Linked DNA regions of Arabidopsis thaliana. The protein of the gene in region 2 interacts with the protein of the main gene of each other region in a biochemical or structural test. Each region holds a gene or a part of one and is shown on either strand. Other genes may lie near its edges.

Region 1 (3,760 bases), on a different chromosome or scaffold from region 2:
CAGCTTTCACTTACCATATGTCGACATGGAAGAACAGTGGTGTCTCGTGGTTCAGACAAACATATAACACATTCTTTACCAGGATCATTAGCATCATCAGCTGAATCATCATCCCCCTCAACTGTATTCCCAATCCCATAAATCTCCTGCAACTCATATCTCGTTCCATTAACCCATAGTATCTGCTTCACCACTCTAATCTTAATCTCTCCTTTATCCTTCTCATAAACCGCTTGAGTAATCTGCGCATTCTTCGACCCCGACCTTTCTTCTTCTTCATTCTCACCACCTGAGGGAGCTGCTTCTGCCTTAACCGCTAATGGATAGATCTCTGTGTCTGCGGCCGCTTTGAACAGCTCAACGTCCTCAAAGACCGAAAAGTCTATACCAGAACCAGATGATTGTTTAAACTTCTGACCAAGTCCTTTCTCGAAATCTAGAGTGATAGGTGGCAGTATATCTTCCTTTGTCGCTGTGAGTTTGCAATCTTCGGATTCTTTAGCAAAGAAAATGACACTAATCCTATTTTTCACAAGTCCAACATAATAACATAAGCTTAATTCAATTACACATGAAGAAGATTTGATCAAATTGCAATAAGAAGATCCAAATTACATAGTCACGAGGAAGAACACAACAAAATTCACGTGTTATCTGCTCAAATGGATCACGAAATCAACGAAAGGGAGAAAGTGAAATCTACCTTCCGGAGACGGTTGCATCAAACGTAAAGGAGACGAGAAAGCGACCCGGATTATCCGGGTCGGGTTCAAGCCTAAGAGACTCCTTCTTGAGATTAACGTCGTTACGAATCGTGACGGCTTTCTGGTGTTCAACGTAAGGAGTCGGTTGAGCCATCATGTGACCAGCATAAGGGTATCTGGCCATCGCCACGGGAGCCCAAGAGTGGTTGTGGTAAGGATGCGGTGGATGATGTTGGAGGTGGTGGTCGTACGGCGGAAGAGGCATGGCTCCCGGGGGAGGATGGTGGTAGTAAGAAGCAGGGTACTGGTAAACCGGATTAGGATTAGGATTAGGATAGGGAGTAACGGCAGCGAAAACGATGGGATTAGCTTGGATTTCTGTAGGTAGAGGTGGTGGAGGAAGAGAAGAAGAAGGAGGAGGAGGAGGTGGTGGTGGAGCCGCCGTATGGTTTCGCCGTCGACGGCGTCTACCTTCACCACCGCTGCTGCTAATGTTTCCCATATGTTATTGGCGTTAAACCCAGATCAAAAAGACAAGATTTTTTGGTGACCCAAATGATCAAATCTCAGAAAATTGCTAAATTTGTGGGTGGATCGGAGATTCTGGGGATTAATATTGAGTGAAATGTAAGGAATTACGAAAAGCAAAAGCAGAGAGAGTTTAGATGAATTAAGAAAGAAAGAAAATAAAAAGAGAGAGAGAGAGATAAGAGAGAATAATTTAGGAGAAGAAAGTGGGTAATGATATGATGAATGGGGTCAGGTTGGCCAAGAAGCTCCACCCATGAACATAAAACACCTCCCACCCTCCTTCGATGGTGTTTATGTTCCCAAAAAGCTTTCTTTTTTTTTTCTTTGGACTTTTTTTCTCCTTGTTATTAATAATTACGTTGATTATAAGGAGTTTTGTCTTTTCAAAAAACAAAATTCAACACGAGTACTTAAAAGAGTTGAGGTGTGTTATATGACGACAAAAATATAGAAAGAAAGATGTTATCTTTTTAATTAGAAACACATTCCCATTAATTATTAGAGCATCTCCATTTGAAGTATCTCAATAAGATACCCAATAAAAAAAAAAAATAATTAAAGAAGAAAAAGTATGATAGAAGGAAAAAAAAGTAGAAGAGAAGGAGAGTTGAATTTCTCTTCCGAGAAACTTTGAGAAACTATTCTCATCCAATTTGGACAAGTGTCATCATACTATTAATTCAATTATTAAATAATAATTAATGTATCTGTTTTAATTAAAATATTATTTTTATTTTTTTTTAGAATCTTTCCTTGTTTTTACTGATAAAGATGGTCTTAAGATTTTTATTTAGGTCTACATTAGGATTAATTTGTTCATGCTTTAAAAAGATGATGTTATTTTCAGAAACCATTAATTGAGAAATCCAAATATTTTACAGAGTGAAGAAGTTGTCGATCATTGCATAGTTCTGTCTTCTGTGTGATTAAAGAGTTAAAAGTCACTTGTGCTGTCCGAAATGTATACTAGGCAATAGGCATTGTCTACTTTCCGCTTCTAGACTTATATTGCCTAAATATCTACTAGTAATTAGTGTGAAGTTTAATATGTATTCCTAACAAAGTAGGCTATACTTTATTTTTATTTTTAACCTATAATAAACCTACTTTTTGCCAACATAATATTCTTATATACAGTAGTCCGAAAAGATGAACTGGTATTTTGGAATTCATATTTAAACTTGTTTTGTCGTCTTTGAATAATTGTGTATAAGTTTAACCCAAAACACAAAACAAAACTGATGTATACTTTAATGTCTTAAAAATTAGTGTTTCTACAAAAGCATAAGCTCCGTTGACCAAAAAGAAAACATAAGCCCTAAAAGAGTTTTTATATTTTCAAAACCCTAAGCTAATTTTTTAAAAAATTTGTATGAATTTAGAGTCAAGAGATCACCATTAGCTAAAAAAAACGTCACAAAGAATAAAAATATATAAACATTCTTTCAAAGGAAGATATATATATATATATATATATATATTCAGTAGCCAGATTAAACTGTAACTATTGGATGTTTGATATTACGTGAAATTATATTACATGTTGATTTTGATCAAAATCAAATTATATTCGTGATCATATACAGATAGATATCATATTGAAACATTCCCATACGAAGGTAGTGGTGCGATTCGAAATCAAAAATAAATAAAGAGACATAATAGAATCGCATACCTAACCACTCGCACACACTTTCATTAAGCAATTCCAAAAGACGAACATATATAAACTAAGAAAAATAAATGGGAATCAATTATAAAATACTCTATATATAGTGGGAAACGGCAGACCGGATATATCATCAAGTTGGATACATATGTTGTGTAAAATCTGTAAAATCAATTGTATCAATTTATAGTTATGTAGACCTATGATCGTGACATATATATATATATAAAAACTAAACTTTGTTCTCTGTTGAATGTTGATGCATCTTTGTTATAATTTACAGGATAACAAATATGACGTCGAACGTAGCATCTTCTTGGAACACTAATGTAATATACATATGTCAAAGATTTTCTTAGGTTTGAGTCACTATGATTGAAATAGATCGAGCTCAGGTGTTTCTAAGAAGATATTTCGTTAATTAGTGAGTATGCTTAGACCCTTACATTATCTTTATGATACTAGCCGATAATTTATCTGAAGTCCGCATATCAGCAACGTGTCACGTACTATCTACGAATCCATCTAAAGCCAAATACTTTCATTAACTTCATTTTGTCGTTTCCTCAGAGGTGATGTTACCCTAACAAGATTTGTATTTGAGTGGAACAAATATATATATGTTAGATCTAATTGTGTGGTTCGTAATGAGGAATGATGTATCAATGAGGAATTTCGTACATGTGTACTTTGTGTAAGATCCCAAAAAGAGAGATCGTTTCCAATTTTGAAACAAAAGCTGTTTTATGACTAAGAAAAGCTCTATATTGTCAAAAGAATTACTAGTAGGTTATTTTCATATTTGTTTCCTTTAATACTATTACAGAGCAGTAAATGTCATGTGAATTATGTAGTC
Region 2 (3,496 bases):
GACGAGCGGTGATTGTCCGTGCAGAAAGAAAACGTACCCTCTACTGCTAAAAGGTGCGAAGTGGAAGCTGACGAAACGTGGGACACAATCACACAACAAAACTATACAAATATTATTTTCTCATGTTAATAGTGATTAGTGGAATGATTGCCAATGGACAATGCGGCCTTCTTATCCCTTGTTGTTTTTTATTGTTTTCTTTTTCTTGTAAAAAACTTTGATACTGTTTTAGAATTAAAAAAGAGGTAAAAACTTTTTTTCTTCTAAACGATGCACGAGTTCTTTAATGATGAAGATTGTGAAACTTGCTATACTCATATGAGATGGGACCTGTATTTTTTTTATTTATATATAAAACTATTATTCTCTCACTGACAAGAAATTCCCAATTTTGATTTTGATTTATGTTTTTAAATAACAATATCTTTTTAAAAATATCTCTCTATCTTGCTTTTTTAAAAACACAATTTTTCTGATTGCCTAAAAATAATTACCATAAAAATCAAACATGTCCCGGTCTTGTGGATCCAGTCCCATGATACTCATTTTCTTGCTTTGTTTTATGATTCTATTTTGTTTTCGACCGAAGTTTATGAATTAAAACATGACAAAAATTTATTTGACAAGTAAACGTTACATATTTTTCAAAACTATTACGCCAATGTTCCAAAGCTTCCACGCCGAAATTCTTGAGCAAATAGACAAAACATCAACGATTTTTCTATAGTATCTGTTATTTGAACAAATTGAATTTTTTAAAATGCTAGATTCCTAATTTTCTCTACAAACAAAGCATCAAAGATGAAAGCATAAAAGAAATCAACGTACATTCTTAAGAAGAGGAATCAAATTGTGGCTAAACAGTGGGAAAGTATAATCAAGAATTCAAGATGTGAGATAAAAATAAAATAACAAAAAGCAAAAATTAGGTAAAGAAAAACTAAGGAAATTAAAGGATAACCCAAGTTTTTCTTTTACCGTGGATATTGGATCATTCCACGGTGAAAAAAGAGATTCTAAATTTAACTGATAAACATATATATTAAACAACTGCAATAAAAAAATAAAAAAATTACAGGACTAAAACTAAAGAACTATAGGGAATCGGACATCAAATTACACAGAACCATCTTTACGATTGATGCTTCACCGTACCACATAAACAAAATGAGATCTTATATAAACTTATGATCTTCTTATCCATAGCTCTTAATAAGAAGTGAAAAATAAAAAAATGGAATCACCGCATAGTCTTGGCTAGAGGCAAGAAAAGAAGAAAGATAGACTAATTAATGAGTATATATGTCAAGTCAAAGCACCAGAGCCAAATGAAATTTGGAAATAATAATGAAGAAAAACAAAATGAAATTGTTGGCACTTTAACCCACAATCTCACTCACTTTCAAATAATCTTTGTTCGCTATTATCATCGTGAAAACATTGTCATATTCCACTACACCCCAATCTAAACTGCTCTTTCACTATGCCCTGATTCTGATTAGCTACAAACATTTTTTTTGCGTGGTATATGGATAATACATCGATTTCAAAAAATATGCCTCTATCTGTACGGACTATGTATATCTCAACTCTCAAATCACTGTATTTTATTATTTTCAAGAATGAAAAATAAAAGTGTTAGCTGTCTAGTTCTGTTGATATATTGAATGAAATTTAACATTTTCACTTGTCCAGCTGTAACTTCTTAGTTCTTACAGTATAAATACGTTATTTTCTTTAATAAAAGAGAGATACGTTGATGAGTTCACTATGGTTAAGAAATAAAGAGTTGGTTCCACTAAATTCCATCAATTAAATATGATCGTCACTTTCTTTGTCCCCAAGTTGCATATACCTATAAATACATCTCTTTACCTTCTCCTCTGTTTCCTACTCATCTTTCCTTTTTCCACATCAAGTTAGAAAAACAAAAGTAGAAGAAATTATCTCCAAAACACACAAGTCCAGAGAGAAACAAAAAGAGATTACACACAACAACAACAAAAATGAGACCATTGAGCGTACAATCGAAGTTTGAAGATGTGGCAACGTCAACCTCCGTTAATCACCACGGAGTGACGCCGCAATCACCGTGGCACTCGCCGGTTCCTTACCTCTTCGGCGGTTTAGCGGCGATGCTAGGACTAATCGCCTTTGCTCTTCTCATCCTCGCTTGCTCTTACTGGCGCCTGTCTTCCTCCGGCGAAGAAGATGGTCAAAACGTAGATGAAGAGAAAGAGAGCCGGTCTGGAGATAAGGCGGCGAACGGAGCTTACGAGGAGAAGTTTCTTGTCATAATGGCCGGAGAAGATTTGCCGAGGTATCTGGCGACACCGGCGATGAAAAAGTGTACGTGTGGTGGTCACGAGGGTAAAATGGTGATTTCTCAGGAGGAAAGTGTTGCCAAAGAGGAAGAGAAGATGAGAGAAGGCGAAGAAGAGAAAGTGAAAGATACCGGCGAGACAACTACTACAAGTCACTAAACTTTTCTTTTTCTAAATTAACGTCTTTTTGAGAGTTTTCTGGAGAATTGTCCTCGTCATGATTCCTAGAAATGTAAATTTTACTAGAGAGCAAAATTTTGGGGTTTTTACTTGTTCTGTAGTGTTTACCGTTTGATATATTAAATCGTATTATCCTAAATTTTGTAGTTTGAGGAAATATTTAGTCACTTCACCCCAAAAAGTCTAGTATATTTGAAACTGCGGTTTCTTACGTGTACATGTGTGTACATCCATATATTTAGGATTCGATTGTTCCAACCAATTCGTTTTGATTATATAACTTTCCACATTTTTGAGTGGAAATACGTGCTAATTCAGAAATTTCATATGGTGGTTAGGTTGATTACTCACGGTCACAAAAATTGTACTTTTTTAAAAACCTTGCATGTACTTCAAACTGTTGGCTGTCAGAACAGAGAAAGTGCTTCAATCTGTTGACAGCAGAGCTGTCTGATCCATATGCCAATTTCACTTTCTTTCCTCTTTTAATTCAGCAAGATTTATTTTCCTCACTCGAAGAGTTTTATGAGGTGTAATCATTTAGTGTTTTTACAAGCAGTTTAAGAAGAAAATTATCCGAAACACACGTTGACTACATATATATTTTTTAATCTCATTCGAATATTGTCATGAAAATACATCTAAAAGTTAGATTTATGAACAAAAACATACATCGCCGACAGTTTTATAATCCTAAAAATCATTATAACATAATGTTACTATTAGGATACAAGAAAAATAGACTAGTTCCACATGATTTTTGTTTATCTATATCGACCGTTCTCCAAGACTTTTAAGCCTAAATTTTAGGTTTACTACTACAAAATCTTTCAAGACTGATTATTACTTAAGATCTTTTAAAATACTTTTCGACTTGCAAATATGTCAAAAAATAAATAAAAATGGCTGATTATCGCACACAAAAGATTATCAATAAATTACACAAAAATATATCCAGTCAACGGATCTGGAGATCTTGTATTTGTAATTAA

The links. The genes of interacting proteins can lie anywhere in the genome.
Region 1: the proteins of GDU1 (region 2) and LOG2 form a complex in vitro, tested with the Arabidopsis thaliana proteins (2 studies listed by BioGRID, with this or other methods).

What each region holds. Positions count from the first base shown.
Region 1 is NC_003074.8:2,996,630-3,000,389, forward strand, and holds the start of LOG2 (RING/U-box superfamily protein), read right to left. Parts: upstream 1,627-3,760; 5' UTR 1,207-1,626; coding exon 704-1,206; intron 523-703; coding exon 15-522; coding exon of another isoform or gene 1-14. UniProt on the Arabidopsis thaliana protein: Acts as an E3 ubiquitin-protein ligase, or as part of E3 complex, which accepts ubiquitin from specific E2 ubiquitin-conjugating enzymes and then transfers it to substrates (in vitro).
Region 2 is NC_003075.7:15,359,201-15,362,696, forward strand, and holds GDU1 (glutamine dumper 1), read left to right. Parts: upstream 1-1,811; 5' UTR 1,812-2,006; coding exon 2,007-2,483; 3' UTR 2,484-2,874; downstream 2,875-3,496. UniProt on the Arabidopsis thaliana protein: Probable subunit of an amino acid transporter involved in the regulation of the amino acid metabolism. Stimulates amino acid export by activating nonselective amino acid facilitators.